2 linked regions of the Pelodiscus sinensis genome follow. The protein of the gene in region 1 purifies or fractionates together with the protein of each later gene. This does not show direct contact. Links are inferred from orthologs where the notes say so. Each region holds a gene or a part of one and is shown on either strand. Other genes may lie near its edges. The genes, in order: EIF4B and EIF3A.

Region 1 (15,326 bases):
GTGGTCTCAACTGCTCTTAGCCACGAATGGCTTGCAATGAACACCTTTATTCTCTTTAGTGGGTCCCAGTGCTTTTTTTGGTTTAAAAAAGAGTGCTGGTACTCCAGTGGAAAAGTTGTTAAGTTCTGACTGGAGGTACTGGTACTGCGTACGGAGGTGCTGGTACTGAGTACCGGGCAGTACCATCACCAAAAAGGCACTGGGTATGTCTATCCTTTGAACTGGAAGTGCAATTCCCAGGTCAGGGAGATGCAAGCACATTAGCTCTGATCAAGTTTGTTAGCTACGCAGCAGCAGCGGGAAGGGCTAGGCACCTCAGAGTAAAGTCTGATAGACAAGCATACACTTAGGGTGGGTAGCTTTTCCTGCTACATACATCTCCACTATTTTTTTAGCATGCAACCTCAACCATGGGTGTATCTCCTTGAGCTGGATTTTACATATAGACGGCCTCAGAATGTAACAGGACTGAGCACCAAGGGCACAAACCATGAAGAAGTGGGATCCTACAAGGAAAATCATAGGCTTTACTCCCAGCTCCATTCACTTTTTGGGTGATGTGGGACAAGTCATTTCAGTCACAGAATTGGCACAATATCATGAGCTTCTTCAGGAGGGCTGAGAGCTTAACAGATGAGAGAATCCCACAAGCCGTAAGTTACATTCAGCCTGCCAACTGCTGCTATGTGGCCCCCATGTCACCAAAGCTTAAAATTATGCGCAACAGATACTCACATTGAGTCCTCTGAAGAAGTCCTTGATGGACTCCTCTGTTACATCATACGGCAAGTTTCCCAGAAAGGCAGTGTAGGGGGGTGACTTTGGGAGACGGCTTCTGTCTATATTGGGTTCCCGAGCAGCCCGAGGTGCGGTGGGTAGGATGGACCGGTCAATTGGTGGGGCTCGATACACATCATCATCGTTACTATGCCAAGTGGTGGAAACTAGAAGAGAAATTTTGTTCAGCATGTCTTGACCATGTACAAGTTCCCCCAGAGCTTCTCACATCCCCTCTTCATTGCAATTGTTTGAATTTACTTGCAGCTCCCTTAGTTGTAAAATAGAGGCATTAAAGATGGTCAAGAAAAGTGTTCAGTAATATAAAGAATCCCACAACTCAACTCTGTTGTCTATTGTAGGGCACCTTTCTCCCAAACATTCTATAGCACATAACAAAAGAAGGACTGCTAAACAAAGATAGGGTGCACCTATCGAAGAAGGGTAAGAGCTTATTTTGATACACACTGGCTAACCTAGTCAGGATGGCTTTAAACTAGGTTTGACGGGAAACCAGGTGACCAAAGCTAATAGGAGACCTTGGAGAAGGGTCAGAAATTGGGGGCAGCATGAGCTGTAATAGCAAGGATAAGAGACAGAACTAGGAGGGGAAAAAAAATTAAATCTTAGATGTCTGTATACTAATTCAAGAAGTGTGGGGAATAAGCAGGAAGAACTCATAATGCTAGTAAATAAACACACTTATAACACATTGGCATCGCAGACTTGGTGGGCTAATACACATGACTGGAATATTAGTATAGAGGGGTACAGCTTGCTCAGGAAGGACAGTAAAGGAAAAAAAGGAGGTGTTGCCTTACATATTTAAAATGTATACATTTAAACTAAGTTTGAGATGGAAATCGGTGAGAGACCTGTTGAAAATCTCTGGGTAAGGATAAAAAGGGAAAAAACCCAAGAGTGATGGCATGGTAGGGTCTACTACAGACTACCTAATCGGGAAGAGGAAGTAGATGAAGCTTTTCATTAAAAAAACAAAACCTAACAAAAACATTCAAAGCACAGGACTTGGTGATGGGAGACTTCAACTACCCAGACAGTTGTTGGGAACATAACACAACAGGGTACAGATTATCCAACAAGAGATGGAATGCTAGCAGCAAATTACCATCTCCTTCCAGGTCATCTGTCTCGTCGGCCCAGCTGACTGGTTTCGGAATAAAGGTGCTTCCACCACCACTGCCACCATCTTCTGCCAGAAAGTCCGTCAGAGTAAGGGTTTTCCCCTTCTTGTTCTTCTTCTTAGCTGCTAAAGAGGTGAAGGAGACACAGATAAGTAACACTGGGGCACAATTAATTCCAATAAATGCAGGGAATGGAAGAGTTACTGCCCTTCATATAATGCCTATGGAGGCAGGCATCCTACATGATCAGGAGGAACAGGCAAAAGTATTTCTTTCTGTCAATGTACTACTGCCTCTTGGAGAGTCTACTATAACAGCGGTGTGCAACCCGTGGGGGGCAGATGTCTTCCTGGTGGGCTGCAGCGCTAGGCCAGCCACCATTTTGTTCTCCCGGCTCGGTGCCCAACATACGCACAGTGGCGGGGGGGGGGGGGGGGGGGGGGGGGGGGGAGTGGCAGGAGAGTGGACCAGCATTTTCAATGAAAGGGGCCGCAACAAAATATTCCCAGTGCTGGGGGTCATGAATCAAAAAAAGTTGAGCACCACTGTGCTACAGTGACATAACCGCACTGCTGATATGGGACCAGATGAAGAGATTCACACCCTCTGTAAAACATGGCAACAGCAATGCCTTGCCTCACAGAGGCTGTGAGGAGAAATGCATTTAAAAATGCTAAGATCATAGAACCATAGAGCTGGAAGAGACCTCAGAAGGTCATCAAGTCCAGCCCCCTACTCTAGGCAGGACCAATCCCAACTAAATCAACCCAGCCAGGGCTTTGTCAAGCCGAGACTTAAATACCTCTAGGGTGTAGAGACTCCACTACTTCCCTAGGTAACCCATTCCAGTGCTTCACCACCCTCCTAGGGTACGTCTAGACTACATGCCTCTGGCGACAGAGGCATGTAGATTAGACTACCCAGCATAGGAAAATGAAGCAGCGATTTAAATAATCGCCGCTTCATTTAAATTTACATGGCAGCCGCACTGAGCCGATCAGCTGTTTGTTGGCTCAGCGCGGTAGTCTGGACACTCCGCGGTTGACATCAAAGGCATTTGTCGACCTCCGAGGTATGCCTCATCCCAGGAGGCATACCTGGGAGGTTGACAAATGCCTTTGATGTCAACCGCAAAATGTCCAGATTACATTTCTTGTGTTTTAAAACTGTACACTCTCTACAACTTCTATTTTGTTTACATTAAGAAGAAGAGACTAACACTAATCAGGTACTTCCACATGCACAGAACTATGGAAACGTACAATAAAACATCACCATACAACCACACACCGGTAATACTGAGATCAAGTTTGTATTAGTTGGTAATTAACACAGCAACACACATGTAGTGAAAATTTGTGCTATACATCTGAAAAGTAAGGATATAATTCCTTACTGACCCATACGCACATTCACATATTAACCCACCTGGAAAGATTTTTTCTGTGGTTGCAAAAAACCAAAACATTTTCACCAGCATATGACTCTAAACTAGTAAGCAATTTCCTTAAACTTTCAAAATACCACTTTAGGTCCAAGACCAACCATGGAAGACAGTTACCCGGAACTGGACATTTTAAAACCTGGAATTCTAATAAACTTTTAGCCTCAGTTTTCAGAAACACCTAGTGATTTTGAGGGCTGAACTTGAGACATTTTACAGGTTCCCAATTTTTAGCAGAAGGATGCCAAACATCTTTGAAAGTCAGGCCCCTCCAAATATCTCAAGCTCAACATCCAAAGCTATTGATGGCTTTTGAAAATGTATGCCCTTATCTTTAGTACTGGTTGTAGAAATGTTGCTGAATTTCATGCAGATCACTTATCAACATTCTCGTAGAGGAACGAAGTGATCTCTGTATTGTGACAACCAGTACCTTTCAATAAATGCATTTCATGAACAAATCTTACTTGCTTTCAAATCTGTTCCGCAACTGCAAGTAAGCCAGCTCTTGTCTAGCATTCTCTTTAGAACAAGCAGGGAACGACTCACTAGTCGTTCTGGCTGTACACTGAATGTCTAATAATACCTTCCCCTGTCACCCAACCCTATTTCCCACTCTTTAGCATACCTGATTTACTCTGTATTCCTATATTCCCCATTGGTCTCAATCCAGACGGTAGCATAGCAAGAAGGGTCACCCCTGTATTTTAGCCCTCTGCTGCAACACCTGGGCCATTGTGTACTATAGGACACCTAAATACCCTGGGAAACAAAGCATACCTACAGAAAAGACACAGCCCAGACTTGATGACAGAAATGTTAAGCTATACTCTCCACAGGATCTTCATTCTAAGCATCTTCTAGCAACATCCAGGAGAGGTACAGAACAGTTAAGAACGCAACAGTCAAGGCCAATTCTTTTTGTCCAGTAATTTTTTTTTTGCTTGCTCTGAATCTAATTTGACATTCCTAGAAACCTTCCCTTTAGTTTAAACTTCAGTAAACAAACTGGAAGACTTCTTGCTGTGGGGCTGTCAGAACAGTATAATCACATGCAACCAAAAGAGACCTTATCAGCTGCTTCTCTAACCATCTGGGGGGGGAAGGGGGGAGAGAGCACAAGATTGGAAAGTTGACTAGTCTGCAGTTAACTGCTGCCATCACAAGAAAGATAGCAACAGTTCAGCTCCTACAGACCAATAACCTGGCAGCAATTAATTTCACAGCCTCCCATCCACCATGCTGCCAACTGTGCAAAAGAATGCAGACTCTGAACATGGGCAAGTCACAACGATTACTGCCACATGACAACAGGGCACTCTACTGCCCAGACCATTAGACATCTCTCACCCCACCAGTCAATTTAGAACTCCCTTAGGTGGTCACAGTAGGTATTACTATAGTACTTCTTACGCTGATACAAAGCTTTCCAAATCACCAATGCCTTTCATGGAGTTAGTAAAGATGTCACATGATCAAGATTACCCATGTTCAGTGTACATTCAGCATCTTGAAGAATGGCCCTTTAATAGAGTTTCCATATCATGGCTGGCTTAAATCTACACAGTAGGCAGAAGAGATTTTCAGCATTAATAAACTTAGCAATGTGGGATGACAGAAGTACTGTTACTGCAGAATCCATGGCTGCTCTCCTTTGGTTTCTATTAGCTCCCTGAGGATGTTCTGTCTTTGATCTTCAGCCTTTAGTGACCCTTCTGCATGCCTTACAGAGCCTGGGGTACAAGGATGCCATTGGGCCCCATCTTCACAGGCAGGCACACAAGGTATCTGTACTAAGTGGGCTAGATTACTCCTTCAGTCAAGTGTTAGGAAGGAATGTCATTGAGTTGGAATGGTGTAACATTGGTGAGAGGGTAATGTGACCATAAAGTTAGGGCCACAGGGATATCAATGGCATTTCACAAGATCCAGGGTAGGCTATTGCAATCAGCATCACACAAAGGGGGTGGGGGGTACTTGCTCTGTTTCTATTCCTTCCCCTTCATTCTGCTCCCATCTCCTTCTGTCTGTTCTGCCCAGGGTTGAAGATTGCTTGGTATTTTCTAATGGGAATAGGTCTTGGCATGACTTTCTCCTCCAGTAGCTCCCAAGAAATCTATTTCTCTGTAATCTGCTCAGCTTCTCCTAATGGCATACTAAAGGAATTCAGCACTACCTAAGTTTTCTCCCCTTCCTCGAGCAGTAGCTCATTGAGAGCTTCTCACAACATTAAAAGACTACACTGCTCACAGCAGCATATTTTCTTCAGAAATTAAGTTTGACAACAAGGCACTTCTCACACCCTCCCAGGCAGCTCAGTATGAAGCAGCAGCTTCAAATAAGTTTACTTACTTTCTTCTGCTGCCTGCATTGTAACTGGGCAGATCCTGAACAAAGATACATGGCATTTGTTTGAACTGCTGTCCTTCTCACTTTCCTACCCCCTGCCCACCCTAGAGTCTAAATCCTGGAGCAAAGCCCCATGGTCCTTTTTTATTATTATTAACTACCTCATTCTGTTGCCATGGAAGCAACTGTGAAATCACAGATTTGGCTTCATGGCTAGGAAGAGGAGAAAAAAAATTCTTGAAGCAGTTTTGACCTCAAGCAAGATGGGAACAGAAAGCAACAAAAATCCTTCAGGTTGAGTTCCAAGGAGCTCCAGTTAATAAGACTGTAGGGCTGTCAGACTCAGTTCCTAGAGTCAGGAAGAATTTTGAGATGCGAGGACTATAACAAAGATGATAGATCTTCTATTCCCCATTTTGCTCCACCATCCATAAAGTTTGTTCTGTAATTACTAGCCTCCTGGCAGAGAGCTTACCCCATGCTTTCTATCAGTAGATCTCAAAGCTCTTTATAAAGGAAGTCAGTATCATCATTCCAATTTTACAGGTGAGGAAACTGATAGAGAAAGCAACTTCCCCAAGGTCACAGCCATGAATGAAACTCATACTCAAAGTCCCAGCTGAGCCCCACTAAGCCATACTGTCTTTTCCAGAGCCCCTCAATAGCACTCAGGGCTGGTCAATACTACAAGTTAGATTGGCTTAACTACATCACTCAGGGCTATGAAATTTCAGGCCTTGTGCGATGTAATTTAGTCAGCCTCAGTCCAGGTGTAGATACCACTAGGCTGGCAGAGGAATTCTTCCTTCAGGAACAGGTGGATTTACAACTGCAATGGATAGGTTTTTTCTGTTGCAGTAGAATCTGCTCTATGCCATTGCAGCTGCACCACTCTGGCATTTCTAGCGTAGACATACCCTCAATCTTCCAGAGAAGTCAGAGGAATCTACACAGCCTATACTGAACAAGAACAAGACTTGTAGCTAACATTTGATCACAGGGACACCCCATTTTGCATTCTACCTAGAACAGCTATTTAAGGAATAATGCCCTTTACCTAAAATGTGTCAGAAAAATGCTTAGTGGAGAGTCCATACAATTTGCTGGAATTATTTGAGTACAAAGACAGATTATTGCTTCTTTCTTCTCTGGTTACTCAAGTGATACGGCCAGAATTCCATTTTACTGAAAACTTACCTTTTCAAATCTCTTTTCATTCTGGTTGCCTTCTGCTCTACCTTTTCAATTCTTGTCACACATTTAATTCAGTACTGTAACAAGACTTCTAAGCACTACGTCAACTATGGCTTCATCAGTGATTAAAACAACACCACAGAGAATTAAATCAAAATGAGAATTGTCTGCCCTAGGGGAGCTTTAGAAGTTCAGACACTGTATAAACCACTCAGTTTACAAAAAGTAATTATTTTAAAGGTGGTGATACAAAATCTATATGCTACTTGTGCAGCTTTGAAACCCTCCAGAAAACCTCAGGAGTAAAGGTCTCATGATGTATAAGGGGACCCTCCTGATGTAGAAGAAATTGAGAAGACTCCACAGACTCCCCTTTCTGCAAAATGCTCAGGATTCATGTTTTTATCATGAATGGGAATGCTACTGCTGAGCACAGCAAGCAGAGGTTGGAAGAGTTCTTGCAAATGGGGACAATCAGAGAATCTAGCTAACCTTTAAGAACTAATTGCTATGACATTGGAATGTACAAGGGTTAAGAATTAAAATAGGATTACTCCTTTATGAGGGTTGAAGTTCAGTTTGCCAGGGGTAATCTCATGGCATCACACAAAGAACTAGCAGATCATCATCAGCAACACACTGCAGTCACTGCCTTGAAAAATGTCATTTAAGCGCCCTCCTGCTGGCAAGTGTTGTTCAGAAAGAAGGTGGCTGAAGGTGTGTTTCATGTACATTCCCACCACCCAAGAATATTTACTTGCTGTCAATGATTGGTTACTAAATGACAGCAAAAACACTGCTAACTAGAGCAGACGCTGCATTCATAAAACCTGCAGGCTGGCTGTTGGCTCAATTTCATCAAATGGCTGACAAGTCACAGGCAGGAGCTAACAGTATGAAGCAACTTCTGTAGTTGAACACAGTGCTGCTTATGCATCACTGAACCTGTGGAAACCTCATATGGCTGACAGAACAATGTAGGGAAAGCCAGTTGGACAAAAGAAGCTCTTTCTTGCCATTTATGAATTACCAACAGCCAGCACCAGCTGCCTCCTTAATATGAGCAGAAGCTACCAGTTATACCTGGGAGTGCCAAGCCCTTCAAGAACATTTTCTTAACATCTACAACTGGAATTGGAGTTTCCCCAGCTGCTATATACAAACAAAAATCAAATGCCACTACTAGACTCAAATGTAGCTTATTGAAATATTATCAGCCATTCAGATATGTACAGACAGTTGCTACAAAGTCTACATTTTAAAGTACAGAGCATTAACTTTTATTAATGCAGCTTTGTAAAACCATTGGGAAATCTGATCAGCCTAGGCATAAAACCTAATTGCTTAACTTTTGATATGATGAAATGGTAGTCTTTCTTAAACTTATCCCATTAAAAGTTACCCAGGCAAGTGTGAAACTAAGGAATTAGTATACTGTATTGTATATAATGTAGCTAAAAGAAATCTGTGTTTCATCAACCACTGTCCCTTATCCTTAAACTCCAAAAAATTATTCTGTTTTTGGGCTGCATCACCACATCATGGGCTCAGGTTCTAGCCAGCTACAGACATGCTTGTGCAAACACGGAGGCTACGTCTACACTGGCCCCTTTTCCGGAAGGGGCATGTTAATTTCAGCGATCGCAATAGGGAAAGGCCGGAAAAGAGCGTCTACACTGGCCCCGATCCTCCGGAAAAAGCGCCCTTTTCCAGAGGATCTTATTCCTACTTTGAAGTAGGAATAAGATCCTCCGGAAAAGGGCGCTTTTTCCGGAGGATCGGGGCCAGTGTAGACGCTCTTTTCCAGCTTTTCTAAAAGCCGGAAAAAAGCGGCGGACATTTTTATTTAAATGCCGCGGGGGATATTTAAATCCCCCGCGGATTTCCCTATTGCGATCGCTGAAATTAACATGCCCCTTCCGGAAAAGGGGCCAGTGTAGACGTAGCCATAGGGAAAAGGCAGGTATGTCTGCCTCAAACATTCTGCTGTGAAATATGGGACCATACAGTTCTTCTGATGGAACTCAAAATGGCATTTGCAAATTCAAAAGTTTTCAGTTTTCCTTAATTGCTGTCCTGATGCATATCCCTTGACATTTCAGTTGGACAGCAAGAGCAGTCACTGCAATTCATATGGGGTACATGTGATTATATGTACTTAACTTAGAAAGAGGTGAAAAAGTACTCAATCCAGAGCGAAAGTGAGTTAAGAAAACTGCCTGAACAGTTATAGTGATGCTTTGGCCTTTTCTAAATGTCAAACACTGTAGCAACTTATGCAAAAATGCAGAACACAGATTTTACCTCCTTTTCTCCACAGATCTGCACAGGAATTAGCACCAATGACCTGTGATACAGCTAGGACTTTTGCTGTTACTGTTATCAGAAGTATGACAGGTGTAGCCACACTAGTCTGTATCTACAAAAACAATGAGGAGTCTTACAGCATGCATCTGATGAAGTCTGTCTTTGCCCACGAAAGCTTATGCCCAAATAAACCTTTTAAGTTAAGGTGTCACAGGACTCCTTTTTGTAATCAGAAGTGTAAACAACGAGCTAAGAGACAGAAGTCAGAGTTTATTTTAAAAGCTTCAGTACAACCCTAAACACAATAGCTACAGATGCTACAGTTCTTAATGAAGCAATACTAGCTGGGTGCCAGGAAGAGTCCAACCGAGTAAAGCTATTCTGCACAAAAATTAATGGGAATTTCATTGCTCAAGACATGACAAGACTTAAATAAAGGAGCTTTCCATACCCAAACAAATAGGCCTTTAGCTCCAGGTTTTTAAGAAGGAACAGTCTTTGCTGAAGAGTTGCTTCAAAGGGATCACTTGCAATAAAGTGCCTGGGGTGTTGGGTTCATATGGTTAGAAAGAAGAGCCCTATTAGGAGAGTGAAGGGTATGCAATCTTCCAGGTTATTTTTTGGATAACACCTGCAGATGATGGTGCAGTCTGGCGCATTTCAAAGGCATATAAAAGTCACAGCCCAGAGTAAGAGAGTAACAGAAATTCAGCTAAGGCAGAGACTGTTTATCATCCAGAGAGGTGATTCAATCTCAAAAGCAGAGAAAGCCCTTACAGTTTAGATCAACTCTCACATCTTATTCTGAAGGGGAAAAAATTGCTGGAATGCCTTCCTCAACCTTTCAGGGATTCCATCCTGTCCTTACGCTCCAAGAAATACAAAGCAGACTGCAAACCTGGAAAGGGAGGGGAGCCATGTACTTCTGAGATAAAGGAGCCAATTTCAATCCCATTTTCCTGGAGCGAAGAGGCAGTACAGCAGGGCCCAACCCCCCATTTCCTGCAGTGGAAGGGCACTGCATCCCGGCTACTCAAGGGAAGGTGGGCAAGAGAGCTGGGACAGCAAGCAATTCCTGCTGAGGGCAGGCAGAAGGAGAACTGTACAGAGCAAAAGGAAGTGTGCTGTAACGGGAGGGCGCCAAAGACGTGTTCTTGGGGGGTGCCAGCTCCCGGGAGAGGGGCAGAGCAGAGATACAAACCATGCCTCCCGCAGGCAGGGCTGCCTCTCCCTCCCTACGGCATCCTCGGGGGCAGGGATGACGACACTCAGCCCTGGGCGCAGGCCGCAGATATACGGGGGAATAAGGGACAGCCCGCCCGTTCGGGCAATGACGCAGCAGAGGGGACTCCCACGTGGCGCGCTGAGGAAACAGGCCTCTTACTCCGGAGACCCCTGTTCCACGCGCCCCCACGTGGGTGCCACTCAGGCTCCTTCTTCCTCTCTCCGAGTCCGCTCCCACCCCCAGCCAATCCCCGCGCTTGCGCAGACGCGCGGTTGAAGGTTCCATCTGGCTCCCCTCCTCCCTCCCTTTCCCGTCAATCACCGCCGGCGCGAGCCACCCCCCCGCAACTCTCCCACCCCACCCCACTCACGGCAGGATGGCGCGCGCGTTGCGGGATGGAACGTTCCGAGCCACGGCGCGCGCTCCTGCCTCGAATGGCTGGGGGGACGCTGCGCGCGCTGGAGAAACCTGAGGGGAGAGGTGGGTGGCGCGCGCGCGCGCGCGATCCCTCATGGGAGGAGACAGGCGCGTGCTCCCCCCGTCTTCCCCGGGCCAGAAAGGGCGAGGGGCGGCCCGGGCCGAGGAAGCGGGTGGAGCTCCAGGGCCGGAGAAGGGATCCAGGCCCGGCTCAGGCTTCAAGGGCCCGCAGGCCGCCGAGCACCACTCACCTGAAGCCGCCATGTTGGGCAGAGGGAGAGAAGGCAAAGGACCCGGATGGGGCCGTCACGTGACTATAGCGAGGCCAAAGCCCTCCTTCCGAACGGGCGGGGCCCCGGAGGAGGTAGCCTGGTTGTTTCTGCGGTTCCAGGCGCTGCGGTTAAAGCCGCGGGTCGCGGCCGGGAGAAGTATTCTTCGCTGAGCATCGCCGCACGCTCTCGATTTGCTGATGCCAAGAAGGGGCTGGAATTGCCCGGCTTGGGGGGCTGTCTGTAGTATTCGGCCCCCCGGGCAACCATGCCCCCGTCCCTAGAGCCCCGCCCTCGGCTATCGGGGCAGTAGTGAATGGGGGGGAGTGGGGAGAGTTCCCGGGGGGGGCAGAGAGTGGGGTTGGGGAGAGTTCCCGGGGGGGGCAGAGAGTGGGGGTGGGGGGAGTTCCCGGAGGAGGGGGCAGAGAGTGGGGCTGGGGAGAGTTCCCAAGGGGCAGAGAGTGGGGTTGGGGAGAGTTCCCGGGGGGGGGCAGAGAGTGGGGGTGGGGGGAGTTCCCGGAGGAGGGGGGCAGAGAGTGGGGCTGGGGAGAGTTCCCGGGGGGGGGCAGAGAGTGGGGCTGGGGAGAGTTCCCGGGAGGGCAGAGAGTGGGGGTGGGGGGAGTTCCCGGGGGGGGGCAGAGAGTGGGGCTGGGGAGAGTTCCCAAGGGGCAGAGAGTGGGGGTGGGGAGAGTTCCCCGGGGGGGCAGAGAGTGGGGCTGGGGAGAGTTCCTGGAGGAAGGGGACAGAGAGTGGGGGTGCGGAGAGTTCCCAGCGGGGGGTGGGAGGCAGAGAGTGGAGTTGGGGAGAGTTCCCGGGAGGGCAGAGAGTGGGGCTGGGGAGAGTTCCCCGGGGGGGCAGAGAGTGGGGCTGGGGAGAGTTCCCCGGGAGGGCAGAGAGTGGGGCTGGGGAGAGTTCCCCGAGGGGGCAGAGAGTGGGGCTGGGGAGAGTTCCCGGAGGAAGGGGACAGAGAGTGGGGGTGGGGAGAGTTCCCCGAGGGGGCAGAGAGTGGGGCTGGGGAGAGTTCCCGGAGGAAGGGGACAGAGAGTGGGGGTGGGGAGAGTTCCCCGAGGGCAGAGAGTGGGGCTGGGGACAGTTCCCCGAGGGGGCAGAGAGTGGGGCTGGGGAGAGTTCCCGGAGGAAGGGGACAGAGAGTGGGGGTGGGGAGAGTTCCCAAGGGGTGGAGAGTTCCCAGCGGGGGGTGGGAGGCAGAGAGTGGAGTTGGGGAGAGTTCCCGGGAGGGCAGAGAGTGGGGCTGGGGAGAGTTCCCCGGGGGGGCAGAGAGTGGGGCTGGGGAGAGTTCCCCGGGAGGGCAGAGAGTGGGGCTGGGGAGAGTTCCCCGGGGGGGGGCAGAGAGTGGGGCTGGGGAGAGTTCCCGGAGGAAGGGGACAGAGAGTGGGGGTGGGGAGAGTTCCCGGAGGAAGGGGACAGAGAGTGGGGGTGGGGAGAGTTCCCGGAGGAAGGGGACAGAGAGTGGGGGTGGGGAGAGTTCCCAAGGGGCAGAAAGTGGGGGTGGGGAGAGTTCCCGGGAGGGCAGAGAGTGTGGGTGGGGAGAATTCCGGGAGGGACCGGACGACAGAGAGATTAGGGTGGCATGTGAGGTGCAGTGTGTTCAGAGTGCTGAGCCCTCCTGAAAGACCACAGGCGGATCATGCTCCACATCTCCAGGACACTGCAGAGCTGCCACCTCTGGGGTACTTGGCCGTTTATGGGCACAGTGTGGTGAGGGCTGACTGAGAGGAGCAAGGAACATGTTTATTTCCAGCTGTTCACTGGTGCTCTGTAACTAGCCATGGCTTTGTCTACACAGGAAAGTTTTTCCTATTATACTGTTCAATCATACTGCACTGTCATCAATCACCTCCTCTTATGTGGACACTCTTATTCACCTATGAGTGGGCTTTTCTGTCTAATTTATACCACATGGGATAGGATTGAAGCTAAAGCAAAGAAAACCATGCTTACATCAGGATAAGAAGCTTCAGGGGGTAGCGAGTTGGTCTGTACAGGGTAAACTTAAAAACAACAAATGCTCTGGTAGCACTTTATAGACTAACAAAACATGTAGACGGTATCATGAGCTTTCGTGGGCGCAGCCCACTTCTTCAGATGACCAGAATTCAGAAAGGAAGAGGAAATGCAAATTAGAGTGCAACATATTGGACTGAAGTGGAGATGAACGTAGGAGATAGCTGTGTAGAGAGTCTCTGGGTTAAGCTAAAAGGGGTAAAAAACGAGGGTGATATCATGCTAGGAGTCTACTACAGGCCACCTAGCCAGGTGGAAGAGGTGGATGAGGCCTTTTTTAAACAATTAACAAAACTATCCAAAGCCCAAGATTTGGTGGTGATGGGGGACTTCAACTATCCAGACATATGTTGGGAAACTAACACAGCGAGGCACAGGCTATCCAATAAGTTTCTGGACTGCATTGGAGACAACTTTCTGTTTCAGAAGGTTGAAGAAGCTACCAGAGGAGAAGCTGTTCTGGATTTGGTTTTAACAAATAGGGAGGAACTAGTTGAGAACTTGAAAGTGGAAGACAGTATGGGGGACAGTGATCATGAAATAATAGAGTTCATGATCTTAAGGAAAGGTAGAAGGGAGACCAGCACAATTGAGGTTATGGATTTCAGGAAGGCAGATTTTGATAAGCTCAGAGAACTTGTAGGTAAGGTCCCATGGGAAGCAAGACTGAAGGGAAAAACAACTGAGGAGAGTTGGAAGTATTTCAAAGGGACGTTGTTAAGGGCCCAAAAGCAAACAATTCTGCTGTGTAGGAAAGATAGAAAATATGGCAAAAGACCAGCTTGGCTTAACAAGGAGATCTTGCATGATCTCAAAATAAAAAAGGAGTCATATAAAAAATGGAAACTAGGACAACTAACAAAGGATGAATATAGGCAAGCAACACGGGAATGCAGGGGCAAGATTAGAAAGGCAAAGGCACAAAATGAGATCAAACTAGCTACAGGCATAAAGGGAAACAAGAAGACCTTTTATAAATACATTAAAAGCAAGAGGAAGACCAAGGACAGGGTAGGCCCACTGCTTAGCGAGGAGGGAGAAGCAGTAACAGGGAACTTGGAAATGGCAGAGATGCTCAATGACTTCTTTGTTTCGGTCTTCACCGAGAAGTCTGGAGGTGTGCCTAACGTAGTGAATACAAGCAGAGAGAGGGTAAGTTTAGAAGATAGGATACACAAAGAACAAGTTAAAAATCACTTAGGAAAGTTAGATGTCAGCAAGTCACCAGGTCCTGATGAAATGCATCCCAGGATACTCAAGGAGCTGATAGAGGAGGTATCTGAGCCTTTAGCTATGATCTTTGAAAAATCATGGCAGACAGGGGAGATTCCAGAAGACTGGAAAAGGGCAAATATTGTGCCCATCTATAAAAAGGGGAATAAGAACAACCCAGGAAATTATAGACCGGTCAGTTTAACGTCTGTCCCAGGGAAGATAATGGAGCAGGTAATTAAGGAAATCGTATGCAAACACTTGGAAAGTAATAAAGTGATAGGGAATAGCCAGCATGGGTTTGTGAAGAACAAGTCATGCCAAACTAATCTGATAGCTTTCTTTGATAAGATAACGAGCCTTGTGGATAAGGGAGAAGCGGTGGATGTCATATACCTAGACTTTAGTAAGGCATTTGATACGGTCTCGCATGATATTCTTATTGATAAACTAGGCAAATATAACTTAGATAGGGCCACGATAAGGTGGGTGCATAATTGGCTGGATAACCGTAGTCAGAGAGTTGTTGTTAACGGTTCTAAATCCTGCTGGAAAGGGATAACAAGTGGAGTTCCTCAAGGGTCTGTTTTGGGACCCGTACTATTCAATATCTTCATCAATGATGTAGATATTGGGATAGAGAGTACTCTTATTAAGTTTGCAGATGATGCCAAACTGGGTGGGGTTGCGACTTCTTTGGAGGATAGGGACATAATTCAAAATGACCTTAGCAAGTTAGAGAAATGGTCAGAGGTAAACAGGATGAGGTTTAATAAAGAGAAATGCAAAGTGCTCCACTTAGGAAGGAACAATCAGTTCCATACATACAAGATGGGAAGGAGCATGGCGGAAAGGGATCTAGGGGTCATAGTGGACCACAAGTTGAATATGAGTCAACAGTGTGATGCTGTTGCAAAAAAAGCAAATATGATTCTAGGTTGTATCAACAGGTGTGTTGTAAG
Region 2 (15,549 bases), on another chromosome or scaffold:
CTGACTCCAGGAAGCCAGAGACAGAGCTGCTCTGCCCCAGCTTCCTGGAGTCAGCCGCTGGTCAATTTCAGCAGCGGCTGAATCGGGGACAGCTGGGGTGCTGCCGGGTTGGTCCCGCAGCCCCGAGGAGCAGTGCTACTGGACCTACCCAGCAGCACTCCAGCTGTTCTGCCCCCTGCTTCCCGGATTCAGTGCTGGTCTGTTTTAGCAGCGGCTGAATCGGGGAAGCTGGGAGCAGAGCAGATCCAATGGTCCGGCTGCCCGGAGCACTTCCGGGTTCCTGATGGTGCCGGACCATCAGGAGTGCCGGACTGTCAGATGCCGGACCATTGGAGTTTTACTGTATTAGAATTCTTTCAGAGTGTCAACAAACACAGAATGATAGTTCAGTGGATACGGTGTACCTGAACTTTCAGAAAGTCTTTGACAAAGTTCCTCACCAAAGATTCTTAGACAAGTATGCAATCATGGGGCAAGAGGGAAGAATCTTTCATGGATCAGTAACTGATTAAAAGATAGGAAACAAAGAGTAGGCATAAAGGATCAGTTTTCAAAAGGAAAGAAGTAAATAGCAATGTCCCCACTGTGCTGGGACCAGTGCTATTCATCATATTCATAAATGATCTGGAAAAAGAGATAAACATTAAGGTGGCAAAATCTGCAGATTTGGGATGTAAGTGTCTAGTTGACTATCAGATAAGCAAAAGCTTATAATGGACTAGTCCTTGATTAGTCACTCTCCCCCACCCTTGCTGCCTCTATCAGAAACAGCAAGAGAGGGAACAGGAGCCAGTGCTGGGGGAAGCTGGCTTAAAAGCCAGTTCTCCCCAGCACTGTCTCTGCAGGCCCAGGGAAGGAAGTGGGGATCGGGCACAAGCCGGGAATCAGCTGATTCCCGGCTTGCACCCAGTCCCAGAAGCGCAGCAGGGGGACATGGCACGAGCCAGAACAGCTGACTCCTAGCTCAAACCAGGTTGCCCCACTGCGCACCAGCCTTTTAAATGTATTAAGAGTCTGTTGGCTCTTAATACATTTTAAAGGCTAAAGCACAGCAGGAGGGACCCAGTATAAACTGGGATGGCTGATTCTTGACTAGTGCAGGGTCCCCCTGCTGTGCACCAGCCTTTTAAAGGCTGGACTGGAGCCTCCCTCCCACCCGCCTCAGACAGGGGCTGCTCCGGCTGGACTAGCCCCAAGGAGGGCAAGGAGCTGCTCCAGCCCCCAAAAGTTAACCAGAAGTGGTGAGCCTCACCCATAAGGAACAGCTTCCAAATGAGAAGAGATTAAAAAGAACAGACTTTTTAACTTGGAAAAAACTCAAAGAGGATATGACAGAAATCTACAAAATGATAAATGGTGTGGAAAAAGTGAGTATTTACTATTTTAAATAAAAAAGAAGCAGAAATCACTCAAGTGAATTAATGGGCAGCAGATTTAAAACAAACATAAGCAAGTATTTCTTCATACACCACTTAATCTGTGGAATTCTTTGCCAGGGACGCTGTGAACAGCAAAAGTATACTTGTGTTTAATTTAGGGATGTTAGGAAGTGAGTAAATAGAAAAATGTGTAGTCGATAGAATTTCTAGCAACTACACAATTAGTCAATAAGAGAGGAAGCCTTCAGGAGATACCCCCCACTGCGGTTCTGCAGTTTAAATGTCATAAGAACCAGACGGGCAGGCAGCTTGGCTCATACTACATTTAAACTGCAGAGTTACAGCAGGTCCAGCTCCTGGACTCAGCACGAGGTGCGACTGAGCCAGGCTTTCTCAGTCTCAATTCACGCCAGGTCCAGTAGCCAGTGTCTGCAGGGGCTCTCACTATGGAAGGCCCTATGGTCAGGGCTGCTCCAGCTGCAGCCAGCCCCAGCCACCATGAATGGAGCCTAGGCCCATCGTGGGCAGAGGCTGCTTCATGGCAGCCTCCTCTGTTCCTTTCCCCACTCCCCACATGCTGCTGCCTCTGAAAAAAGGGGGAGGCGGCACAGCGGAGACAGCGCTGGCGGGAACCGGTTTTTAAGCTGGCTCCCCTCAGTACCAGCTCTTGCTCCCCCCTCCTTCTGATATAGAGGCAGCAAGGTGTGGGGAGGAATGCAAGTAGTCATCTCAACTACCTGATAAGCCTACGCTTATCCTGTAGTCAACTACTCACATATATGCCTAGTTCAATTAAGAATTAGGTAAATGTGTGGGGCAAGGATAGATCAATCAATGACTGCCTGTTCTATTAATTCTTTCTGAAGATTCTGGCATTGCCCTCTATAAGAAGAAAAGACACTGGGCTAGACCATTGGTTTGACCCAGAATGGCCATTCTTCTGTTTTTAAAAGCTGGGCAACACGCTTCACTGAGGGAGCATGTCCACTATATGCAACACAGAAACTATAGTAAATCTTTGGCCATTTATCAGTTCTCCGATTATTATTAAATATTTGTATTGCCACAGTGTCTGGGATCCCGTCACAGGCCATGAGTTCACTGCGAAAGACACTGTGTAAATAAAAAAGACAACCCCTTCCCAAAAGAATTTAGAATCATCATGTAAAACAAAACAGGTGGACAGATAAGGCCCAACAGGCTGGGGCCATGGCCAGCAGTGCCCTGTGGGCTGGAACCAATGCCAGCTGGGCTGGAGTGGTCCTTGGCCTGGATCCTGCTTAATCGGTTAAGTCTAACGTTTAACCGGTTAACTGATTAAATAGGATTTTACTAGGGATGTTAGATCACGGGTAGTAGAATGGTCAACTAACCACATGAATTCTTAGCGGTTAGTCGACTATTCTATATTCCCAGGGCTAGCAGACAATGTGCTCCAGCCCCACTCCTGGGCAGCATCCTGCCACTTTGCACTGTTGCCTCTGATACAGAGCAGGGTGGCAGCAGCCCCTGTTCACAGGAAGTCTAAGCTCTCCATGGACAGAGGCTGCTCCAGAGGGGAGCTTGGACCTCCTGCAGACTGGGGCTGCTGCTGAGCACCAGCCTGTCTGTGGTGAGCCTGGGCCCACTGCAGGCAGGGGCTGTTTTGTGGCAGCTTCCCCTAAGCCCCTCACTGTACTGCTGTCTCTGATAAAGGCAGCAGTTGGTGGGGAGAGGGAAACAGGCAGCACTGTGGAGCTAGTGCTAGCGGGAAACTGGCTTTTAAGTCAGATCCCTCCAGCATTAGCTCCTGCTTCCCTTCCTCCCCTCCTCCCAGAGGCAGCATAGTAAAGGGGATGCAAGTAGTTGACTAGATTAAACAATTAACCTAGGGTTGACAGTTAATTGTATAGTTGACTATTCTTTCACGTCACTAGATTTCACATCCCACATCTTGATACACCAGTGGTCTAACCGTGGTCAAATTTTTGTAGGCACTATGACAAAGAAGAGTTTTAAGGAGAGATCTGAAGAAGAATAGAATAGCTATGAGGGTGTGTACAGAAAGCTGTTCAAAAGCATATGGGGCAGCATGAGAGAAAGCACAAAGGTAACTATTTGAATATTTAAAAGTCGGTGATGGTATCTGACATCACTGATGAATCAGAAGTGGGAGTTGTCATTTTGCTAGTGCATGAGACACAATATGTAGAGCCTGCATAAGTTTTGAAAGATTTTGAAAATGAAGTGAAGCAGCTTACATTTCATAAGGGATACCAGTAGAGGGATTCAAATAGAGTGATATGGTCTAAGAAACAGGCTAGGAAAATTATATTTGCACAGCGTTCTGAATGAGGTGAGACTGTATTTGTTAAAATTAAAGCAAAGGATGTTTCAGTAACTAAGATGTGAGTGCCTGGACAGAGTTTTCACTGTGCAAGTGGACAGGAAAAAACAAATGAATGGCAGTGGCCATGTGTGACTTTTACCCCATCTGTTACTAAACAGGAAAACTATCCTTTTTTTACATAGATCGTTACAATTATCTGTGCCTTTGTTTCTGCAAGATCAGATGACTGGAACATTATCTATGAAAGGCTATATGTATTGCTCATTCAGAAATGGAACCAAATATAAAATGCAACCACCTCTTTTCAATACATTGCATACAAAATACAAACATCAGATCTTCTTTTCCCCCATACCATGGAGTTACAAAGATCATTTATTCGGCTTATTTCACCATGACAATCCTATAAATATTGATTTAAATCTTAAATTAAGTATCATTTAATTTGTGTGAAGTACCATAAAAATCAAAACAACGAAAATTGTTAAGTTTAATTAATATTTGTGATGTGCTTTCAAAATCTTATGAGGTGCTTATGCACTCTGTCATCAGGTGAATGACGAAGGCTGACCTACCTGCGTATGCTGAGAGTAGGAAATACAGAACATGGGTAGTTTGTCAGACCGATGTAATTCAGGGTACGTCTAGACTACAGGCTTTTGTAAATAGCTTCTGTCAACAAAGAGCGTCTAGACTACATTCAGTTCTGTTGACAAAGCACGCTGCTTTGTCGACATGGCAGTGTAGACGCAAAGGACGGTGTAGATGCAATAACATCTTCTGTCGACAGAACTCCATCGACAAAAGGCGTTATTCCTCGTAAAATGAGGTTTACCAGCGTCAACAAAACTGCTGAGTTCTGCTGACGTTATGTCGACAGAACTCAGCGGTAGTGTAGACGCAGGTTTAGTTTTGTCAAAAAAGTCCACTTTTGTCAACAAAACCCTATAGTCTAGACACACTCTTAAAGACTACTGTATAATCATTGTTTTGGAGGGAAGATAGCCTTCTTTGAAAATCCCATCCGAAAAGGCTAAGAATCAGGTGTCCTACTCCATTAGGGGCTTTTGACAATTCCAACCTTCATTATTAAGTTGACAGAGAAATCTGTACTCAGGACCGTCTTCAAATTACAAACTAGTGTGGCACATCGAACCCACATGCCATCCAATAAAACTTTGTGCTGTTTTCACACACAGCGCATCTAGTATTATCAGAGCCTTAGACAGACATCATCTCTGTTAGATAGTTTTGCTGGCTATTTAAAACAGGTTACACTGAACATAAAAAATGTTAAGTCTGCATATTCAATTTGGCAGGAGTTTGTTGATACCCACAGCCAGTCAGGCTTTACTCTTGGAAGCTGGTAAGGGATACTTCAGCAGCAGTCCTTAGTGATATTTGCTTTAAAACCCTGTGCGCATTAGGAATGTTAAATTTCAATTAATTGAGTAATCCAATAGTCGATGCAAATTGCATATTTGATTAGTCAATATGGGTGCCTCCGCCTCTGAAGTGTAGAAGCGGTCCCAGAGCTGTTGCTACACTTTAAACGCAAAGGTGCTGGAGGGAGCACGGAACCAGTGGGGCAGTCCCCCACTGGCTCCATGCTTCCCGCAGCATTTGAAAGCGGTAGCACTGTGTGGAGCCCAGGGTCAGCAGGGGAGTCCCCAGCTGATCCTGGGCTCCACGTATTGCTGCTGCTTTGAAACACCACGTGCAGCTTGGGGACTCCTCAGCTGTCCCCCATATTTCTCCCCCTTGCTTCCTCTTTCTGATAGAGACAGCAAGGGGGAAGAATGACTAGTCTATTACTGTGCTGACTATCCTATAAGCATGTGTTTATCAGACAGTCAACTACTGGTTCACATCCCTAGTCTGCATTTGTCCTAGGATATTATTTATACATTAAATAAAAAACTGACATTTTACTGTCTATAAAATAAGATCAGTTAACTAGGGGTGGGCTGTTAAACATGGGACCTGCAAAGAACACTATGAGGAAAGTAGATGACTGCATAAACATCTCAAATTGTAGCAGGCCTGATTCAGCCAAAAATATCGAGAGAATTCTAGAATGTACTGTGAAGATGTCTCTCAGACAAGACCTTTAATAAAAAAAGCTCTGTTCACTCTGCATCAAGATTAAAAATATCATGACAGATGCCTCAGGACAAGTGCATGCAAATGAAGTGTCCTACACTTTGTCCTACACTTCAGTTTATCAACTGGCTAGGCAGAGGTCAGAGTGATGTACAGCACCTTGCCCATTTCATTGAAGCCTCATCCCATTGGTTTATTTCATCCATCTGGCAGCGTTTTGTCACACCCTAATGACATTTGATTGAGGGCTGCGCGCCTGCCCGCGGAGCACACAGTACAACACAGTCTGATTGCGGATTCATGGTTCAAGAGGCTGCTTCAACACAGAAAAATAGAGGGGGGAAGGGGTGCCCTTGACCTGCCTTCCGCCTGGTGCCACGCAGAGTGCTGGACAATAGCTGCCAACTTCCCTTCGCTTCAGCAGAGGCAGCCGCAGTGGGGGACAGTCCGTGCAATGCCGCCGCGTGAGAGGCCGCGTTTACACGGGATCGGGCTGAGGGCCGGCGCAGCCTGCTCCGCGCTGCACAAAACCCGGGCAGCTGCGGGCCCGAGGCGGCTCCGCTGCAAATCGGCCGCGGGCAGCGCCGGGCAGGCGCGAGGGCTCATTGTCACGCTCGTCCCGCCCGCGCCACATGGCCCCGCTGAGGCGGCGACTGCCGCGGCTGCCGGGAGCGAGGCCCAAGACGGGGAAATGCTGAAAACGCCCCCCCCCCTTCCCGCCCCCGGATCCTCCGCGCCTGGGACGGGTCCTGCCGCGGCCTGCCCGGGCGATGGTCCCTGCGCCGGGCCGCGGCTGGGCCTAGGCCCGGCCCTTCGCCACCCGGCGCCAGGCAGGGGAGCGGGGCGGGCGCGGGTCCCGCCCGCACTCACCGTTCGCCCGCTTCAGGGCATTCTCGGGCCGCTGGAAATACACCGGCATGATGGCGGCGGGGGCAGCGGCGTCTCCTCACGGGGCGGCGGCGGGCGGCTGCGTGCGCCCAGACAGGCAGCCTGCTGGGCCGGAAAGGGAGCGCGCCACGTGACCCACGCGCACCGACGTGTCCAGAAGCGGAAACCCCTCCTTCCCCGAGAGGGAGGGGGAAGCGGGAGGCTGGGGTGTAGCGATCCGTCCCGGCATGCAGCGCTGCATTCGCCTAGTAGCCCGTGGTGGAGGGGTTAGCGCCAGGCAGTAAGAGCTTCGGCAGGTGTCGGTTCGAATCCTCTGTCCCCATGGTAGCAATGCGCGACCTGTGACCCCTGTAAGGGACAAGCCTGGCTGGGTGATGGAGAGGGTGTGTTGCAGGCACTAAAGGTGCTGCAGGACCTTTCCTAAAGGAATAATTCAGTGCACATGTAAAGAGCACCTTACCATAGACTCCTGGGGCTGGAAGAGACCTCAGGTCATCTGGTCCAAAGCAGGACCAACCCTAACTAAACCATTCAGCCAGAGCTTTGTCAAGCTGGGACTTAAAAATCTCTAGAGATGGAGATTCCACCATATTAAGTGACCCAATCCAGTGCTTCACCATCCTTCTAGTGAGAGAGTTTTTCCTAATATCCAACCTAGACCTCCCCACTGTAACTTGAGACAATTGCTTCTTGCTCTGCCATCTGTCACTACTGAGAACATCCTCTCTGAAGCCTCCCTTCAGGAAGTTGAAGGCTGCTAGCAAATCCCCACTCACTCTTTTCTGCCAACTAAACAAGCCCAAATCCCTTAGCCTCTCCTCATGGGTCCTGTGCTCCAGACCCCTAATTATTTTGGTTGCCCTCTGCTAGACCCTCTCCAATGCATCCACATCCTTTCTATAGTGGGCAGCCCAGAACGGAATGCAATACTTTAGATGTGGCCTCACCAGTGCCGAATAAAAGTGAATAATCACTTCTCTAGATCTGCTGGAAATACTCTTCCTAATGCACCCTAATATGCAATTAGTGATAGAAATGTAGCCGTGTTAGTCTGGTGTAGCTGAAACAAAATACAGGACTATGTAGCACTTTAAAAACTAACAAGATGGTTTATTAGATGATGAGCTTTCGTGGGCCAGACCCACTTCCTCAGATCAAATAATGGAAGAAAATAGTCACAACCATATATACCAAAGGATACAATTTAAAAAAAAAAGTGAACACACATGAAAAGGACAAATCACATTACAGAACAGAAGGGAGATGTGGGGGGGGGGGGAAGGAAGGTGAATGCCAGTGAGTTAATGATATTAGAGGTGGGGAAAGGAAGATGTCTGTGAGTTAATAGTTTAAGAGGTGATAATTGGGGAAGCTATCTTTGTAATGGGTAAGATGTCTTTGTTAATTCCTCTGTGGAGAGTGTCGAATTTTAGCATGAATGCCAGTTCAGAGGATTCCCTTTCAAGTGCAGATTTGAATGTCTTCTGAAGTAGGATGCAGGTTAGCAGGTCATTCAGACAGTGTCCTTTCTTGTTGAAATGACAAGCAACTGTTTTTTCTTTGTGATCCTGTCTAATGTCTGTTTTGTGGGCATTGATTCTTTGGCGAAGTGTCTGAGACGTTTGTCCAATGTACATAGCAGACGGACACTTTCAGCACATGATAGCATAGATTATATTTCTGGAGGCGCAGGAATATGTATTCTTGATCTTATAACTCACTTGGTTAGGCCCAATAATGGTGTCAGCAGAGTGAATATGTGGACAAAGCTGGCAGCGGGGTTTGTTGCAAGGGAAAGTATCAGGGTTGGTATTAGTGTGGTATGTCCTGTGGTTGTTGGTAAGAATCATCTTGAGGTTAGGTGGTTGTCTATAGGAGACTATGGGTCTGTCTCCCAGAGCTTCTTGTAGTTTAGTGTCCTATGCAATTAGACTTCTTGGCTACAAGGGCACACTGTTGACTCGTATTCAGCTTCCCATCCACTGTTATCCCCAGGTCCTTTTGTGCGGCACTGCTGCTAAGCCACTTTGCCCCCACCCTGTAACAGTGCTTGGGATTCTTCTGTCCCAAGCGTGCAACTCTGCACTTGTCCTTGTTGAACCTCATCTGATTTCTTTTGGCCCAATCCCCTAATCTGTCTAGGTCACTCTGGACCCTATCTCTACCCTGTAACATATCTACCTCTTCCCCCTAGCTTAGTGTCATCTGCAAACTTGCCAAGGGTGTTATCCATCCCCTCATCCAGGTTATTGATAAAGATGTTGAACAAAACCAGCCCTAGAACCAATCCTTGGGGCACGCCACTTGAAACTGACCACCAACCAGACATTGAGCTGTTGATCACTTCCTGTTGGGCCCAACAATTTAGCCAGTTTTCTATCCACCTTACAGTCCATTTTGCTTATCAGATAGTTGACTAGTTGCTCACAATCCTACTTCCAGCACTAGCATCCCTGAACATGAGCACATGTGATTTTACAGAACTATATAGAACATATAGTAAAGGGAAGACTTGGGTCTGAAATCTGGCAATTTACAGTGGCAATGAGACAATTTATTATTGTTTTGTTATATTTCAATGGAATTTTTACTTTATTGATAATTGTTGGTTTCTTATGTTTTCTTATTGTTTCAATATTGTGCAGCCACAAAAACACATATAAAGTCTCAAAACAATTACAATGCAACCTGAATAATATATTTCAAATGGTGGTTTAATAATAGGGTGAGAGCCCAGAGGCACCTTGCACTCACTCCAATTGTTATTTTACCAGAAATAAATACTTGTTTCTGTTAATAGCAAGAAGAGCAGGCTGGGTGTGGAATGGAATGTTTCTGATAAGCATTGTGACTGTACTAGAAATATTTTCTTTCCCTTTCTCCACCTCGTACCCACACTATCAAGAAAGAATCAGATAAAACATAAGAATTGTCATTCTGCATTTCATGTAGTCCAGTATCTTATCTCTGGCAATGGTCAGTAGTAGGTAGGTCAGTGGAAGGTGTAAGAACCCCAAAATAGACAGGTGTGGGATAGGCTTCTACCTTATCCTCTATGGTTAGAGACTGACATAAACCTTGAAGCTCCAAGTTTAATTTTCCTTCCATTTTTGTTATAATTAATTATAACTTCAGATATTCTTATTCATATCCAAACCTGCTCTGAATTTTTATAACAGCTTCCTGCAGGTTGAGTTCTTCAGTCTAATTACATATCATGTAAAAAACTATTTAATCAGTTTTGAATTTACCAGCTTTTAATTTCACTGAATGTCCCCTTGTTCCTGAAGTATGAAAAAGGGAAAACATTGATTCCCAATCTACTTCCTTTCATTATTTTATATACTTTTGTCGTGCTCTCTCTTACACGTGCCCTTTCTGAGGTAAACAAGATCAATCTTTTTACTTTTACTTTTATGAGAGTTTTACTATGCTTTCCACACAATCTAGTGAAGAGGTACTCAAAACAGAAGAAAACTGGTAGGCCCCAATCCTACATTTATCCATGTGCTTAATTGCATGCAGACTTTGCAGGATCATTGTATGTGTTTGTATAATGCCAAATACTCCTGACCCAGATTCTGTTTGTAGCCTTTGGATGTAACTGTAATAAAAGTAATTGATAATAAGTAAGACTTCTAAGCAATGTAATTGTATTCTGTATAACAGTTTGCATATAACTATACCCAGCAATGATTCACAGGGTTAAATAATACACATAGTTACAAAGTTAAAACAAACAGAAAAAGAGAAAAATTCAGGACAGTCAAAAGTAAAAAAGATAGTTTTTAACTTTTACTTGAAAATAGATCGGAAAGGTAATGAGATGGACATTCACTTAGTCATGGAGAAGAAGGCTTTAAGAATGTGAAATGCTGCCCCCCACACATGCACACACATCAGAAGAGTAACTGAGGAAAGAAACCCACCCTAAGTAAACATCAAAACACGTTGACAGTTCACCATTAAACATAAGTGGAGTTCTGGTGCAGCTCAGGGTGTGCAATAGAACTGGGCAAACTTTTTGATCATACAGTAAATTAGTTGAAATATGTAGTTTTGAACAATGTTAAGAATTATTATTAAGAAAAGAAAAAAGTTCATTTGACATTTTTTAAATCAACCATTTTGACATTTTGCTTTTAAATGAATCATTTCATTTTGCAAATGTCCTGTCGGGCCAACATTTTATTTCAACATTTTGCTTCAAACCTCACTGTTTTGTTTTAAAACACTGTTTCAGAAGGACATGCGAAAAGTTGCAGTCAGCCTGCCTAAAATGCTTTCAGTTCTGCATTTTGGCAACTGGTGGGAAAAAATGTTTCACTTGGAAAATAACCGATTTCATTTATTTATTCAGATTGTTCACTTCAGCCATCAAACCAAAAAAATCAATCATTCAGTGAGCCATAGGGGGGAAATCACACAGGGGAGAGACCCCCAGAGGCGTAAGCAGGAAAGGGGGAGCCATCCAAAAGATCTAGGGGTGGTGAGGCCACGCAGAGGGAGTCAGGGCAGAGGGAGTCAGGGGCGAGGCCGAATGAACTGAGAAACAAAATCCAGGACTATGTAGCACTTGAAAGCCTAACAAGATGGTTTATTAGATGATGAGCTTTCGTGGGCCAGACCCACTTCACTACCTCAGATCAAATAGTGGGTCTGGCCCACGAAAGCTCATCATCTAATAAACCATCGTGTTAGTCTTTCAAGTGCTACATTGTCCTGTATTTTGTTTCAGCTACACCAGACTAACACGGCTACATTTCTATCACGAATGAAGGGAGGAGCGCCAGGAAAACGACGCGGGGTGGGGAGACCAGACCGCCCAGAGCGAGACCGGGTTGGGGGGAAGCCAGGCCCGCCGGAGGGGCCCGAGGAGCGGGGCGAAGCCCGGCTCGGCTTGCTGCTGCGGCAAGCCCGGCGCCTGCCGCCTCACTGGTCTCCCAGGGCAGCTGAGAGGCCGAGCCCGCGTCCTATGTGGGCCTGGGAGGCGGGGAAACAGCGGGGCCGGGCCCAGCGCCGAAGGCGGGGCCGAGGCAGCGGGCGGAGCCGGAGTGAGGCGGGGCCGGGCCTGGGCGCTCAGGCGGCGGCGGCGGCAGCGGCAGGGGATCCGGGAAGCGGGGGAGAAGGCCGGGCCGCGCCTGGTGCGCTCTGGCCGGGCAGGGAGGCGAGTGGAGCCGGACGGCGGGAAGATGGCAGAGCCGGAGATTCAGCAGCTGCTAGGCGTGGGGCTGATCGGTAAGGCGACCCCCCCGCCCCCTTCGCCCCTTGCAGAGCCCGGACTCCAGCTTCTTGCCAGGCTCCTGCCCCTTCAATGGAGGGTGGGGCCCTTGTGCCAGTGGGAGCAGACGTGCTGCCCCACCCCCTGCCTTGAAAGTGGTTTCCAGCGTATTCAGACTTCGCCGTGTGGTTCAGTGGCCCTCAGTGCCCAGGGCGGTGAGGGCAGCACCTGTCAAACAGTCCCCACTCTTTGAGGTGCACCCCTACCCCTTCTCCTTCACGTGCGGGGGCTGTAACCAACCCGCGGGGGGAAGGGGAACTGTTCCTCTTTTGCCAACTTTCCCTATCTTTGGCATGGCTTTTGACACAGTTCTGTATGAAGTTCTCATAAGCAAATTGGGGAAATGTCTAGATGAAATGGCTGTAAGTGCTCAAGTGGTTGAAAGATCACACTCAAAGGGTAATCAGTGGCTTGCTGATAAATTGAGAGACTGTCGGAAGGGGGGTCCCCACAGGGTTTCGTTCTGGGTCCTATGGGATGTTTACATTTGATGACTTGGCTAATGGAGTGGAGAGTAGGCTTATTGCAGATGACACCAAGCTGGGAGGGGTTGCAAGCACTTTGGAGGACAGGTTTTAAATTCAAAGTGACTTTGAAAATTTGGTCTTAGTTCCAACAGGATGAAATTAAATAAAGACAAGTTCAAAATAGTTCACTTAGGAAAAAAATCAAATACACAACAGCAAACCATCTAGTTTGGGGTGGGCAATTTTTTTTTGCCTGAGGGCCTTATCTCAGTACAGAAATTGTATGGTGGGTCATGAATGCTCACATAATTGGGAGTTGGGGTGTGGGATTGGGTTAGGGCTCTAGTTGGAGCAGACTCTGGAAGGGGGGCCAGAAATGAGAAGTTCAAGGTGCGGGAGGGGGCTTTGGGCTGGAACGGGGGGTTAAGATGCAGAAGGGGAATTAGGGCTGGGCTGGGATGAGATTGGGATTCAATGGGAGGATGAGGTCTCTGGGGCTGAAGATGAGGGCCTTGGGGTACAAGAGGGACTCAGGGGTGCAGGCTTTGGGAGTTGTCTACTTCAAGCAGCTCCAGGAAGCAGCAGCCTATTCCCACTCCCATTCCACTGCCTTATCCATAGGTACCACCCTAGTAGCTCCCATTGGCTGTAGTTTCCAGCCAATGGGAGCTGAAGAGCTGGAGTTTGGGGCAGGGGCAGGGGCAGCGTGCAACACCCCTGGCTGCCCCTGTCTCCAGGATGTGTTCACAGCTAAGACATGAGTAGAGTAGGGCAAGCAAGCTTCCAGCCCTGGTGCCCAAAAGCTGGAGTAAAAAACTGAGGGGTTTGATACAGCCCATGGTTCGTAATTTGCCCGCCCCTAGCATAGGTGGTAATGCTGCTGAAAAGACTCTGGGAGTTCTAGTGGACCACAAACTCAATATGAGTCATCAATGACTCATGACATAGCTGGAAAAAAAGCTAATATGATTCTGAGATGTATTAATAGAAGTGGTGTACAATAGATACAGGAGATAATTGTCCTTGTCTACTTAACAGTGGAGTACTGTGCCCATTTCTGGGCAGCACAATTTAGGTAGGATGTGGACAAAATGGAAAAAGTCCAGAGGAGAGCAACACATAATGAAAGATGTAGAAAATCTGACTGATGAAGAAGAGTTGGAAAAACTAAAGAGGTGTAGTCTTGAGCAAAAACTGATAGACAACCTGATAACAGTCTTCCAATATGTTAAGGGCTATTATAAAAGACACACTGATCAATTGTTCTCCATGTTCACTAAAGGTAGGACAAGACATAATGGTCTTAATATGGAGCAAGGGAGATTTAGGTTAGATATTAAGAAAATCATTCTGTCTATAAGGGTAGTTAATTCCTGTAATAGGCTTCCAAGGAAAGTCATTGAGTCCCCATCATAGGACACTTTTAAAAACAAGTTGTACAAACATCTATCAGATATTGTCTAAGTTCAGTTGGCCCTACCACAGCTCAGGGGGCTGGACTTGATGACTTTTTGAGGTCCTTTCCTGCCAAATATATGATTCTATACTGAGATGTAAACTCCAAAACTGCCCACAAAATTTAACTAGCCACTGATAAAAATGGGACTAACAACATATCTTTGCCTTTCTGGGGTGTAGTTAGGATTGATTAACTAGTGGGAAAGAATCATATAAATGACCAAGTGTTGCTTGTTTTCATTATTTATGTCAGTTTATCTTAAAGCACTTAGCGAGGAAAAGATTCCTGTAAAAAGCCAGAGCCCGCCCTCTGATACAAGCCATTGGGAATATGCGGGGGGTATCTGAAGGCAACATTTGGCATGTGGTTAGTAGGGATGTTAAAAGTTGTTTAATAAGGGAACCATGTAACCGCTAAAAATCTTAGCGGTTACATGTGCTGTGGGCTCTGTAGTATAAAGCTTAAATAAGCTTCATATTGCAAAGCCTTCCCCAGAGCAGGGTGACCAGCCATCTCCCACGGAGTGGGACCAGCAGGAGCAAACAGCTCAGCTGCTGGCTCCGCTCCTGGGGAGGAGGTTTTGCTGCCACTGTGAAGCCATCCGGGAGCAGGGCAGAGTTTAACCAATAACATTAACTGATAAGCATCATCTTATTGCTTAACTGGTTAATCGATTAAATTCTAACATCCCTAGTGGTTAGTATGGAATCTGGGAATGAAGTCTGTCTGAGTATTTATAATATAGCCCCTTTTGTAGCATATAGATGCCATATAACTATAAAATTTTATTGGCATACAAAGTGAAAGTATTGTTAATTAAGAACTATATTGATAATGTAGTCCAAACAAGTCTGTTAGTTTAACAATGAACAATTAATACTTAAATGATGCTTTACCACTTCAAAGCATTGTGACAGTTTGAATGATGGAGATTTTAAATTATGCAAGTTAGGATTCTGAAAATACTTTGTTCACGCTTATTTTCAAGTAATTAAATAATTCCATTGGAGTCAGTTAAGTAAGTGTGCAGGAGCTGCATAACTGAGAATAGCACCTTTGAAAACAAAAATTCTTACTTTTCTACATACTCAAAAGCCTCACCTGCCTAGGACTTTGCATGCCAGGAGTTAGCCAAGAGCAGACTTTTACAACAATATGTGAAAATAAAAGTTAATAAAAGAAGCACTCACAGACAACTTTTAACAGTTGAGGCATGAGTGGGTAGTGCTGTAGTTAGTATAAAAATGGGATGTTAAGCCGATTCCAGTAAACGGATCTGATTAACCAATCAATTTACTTCCTTGCTGCTGTTTGGCATTCTCACAGTGAACATCTTTCCACCATAGAAAAAGACACCAATGGAGATACTCTCTGGGTATGGTGTTATCCTTCCACAACAGCTGAAATGAGGGATCTGTTGCTGAGAAAATGCTGCCTTACAGATGAAAATAAATTGCTTCACACCTTTGTATTTGGCCAGTATAGAAGATCGTGGTTCTATATCACAACAGTGGAAGTTCAAGATTCTTCAGTTTTGGAAAAGGTGGGACTAAATCACCAATAAAGAGATCTAAAGCAGTCGAATTCCATGCACATCCCATTATCCTGGCACAACCAAACCCTGACCTTGCTTTAAATTTTGA

What was found.
Region 2: the proteins of EIF4B (region 1) and EIF3A purify together in Homo sapiens (co-immunoprecipitation; 3 studies listed by BioGRID and IntAct, with this or other methods). This does not show direct contact. The link is inferred for Pelodiscus sinensis from reciprocal best matches to the Homo sapiens genes EIF4B and EIF3A.

The regions. Positions count from the first base shown.
Region 1 is NW_027465874.1:250,195-265,520, forward strand, and holds the start of EIF4B (eukaryotic translation initiation factor 4B), read right to left. Parts: upstream 5,860-15,326; 5' UTR 5,738-5,859; coding exon 5,719-5,737; intron 2,048-5,718; coding exon 1,907-2,047; intron 945-1,906; coding exon 736-944; intron 1-735. UniProt on the Homo sapiens protein: Required for the binding of mRNA to ribosomes. Functions in close association with EIF4-F and EIF4-A. Binds near the 5'-terminal cap of mRNA in presence of EIF-4F and ATP.
Region 2 is NC_134718.1:59,141,479-59,157,027, reverse strand, and holds the start of EIF3A (eukaryotic translation initiation factor 3 subunit A), read right to left. Parts: upstream 6,841-15,549; 5' UTR 6,731-6,840; coding exon 6,682-6,730; intron 1-6,681. Other genes in the region: DENND10 (DENN domain-containing protein 10), read left to right, coding at 11,892-11,937, 15,253-15,449. UniProt on the Homo sapiens protein: RNA-binding component of the eukaryotic translation initiation factor 3 (eIF-3) complex, which is required for several steps in the initiation of protein synthesis.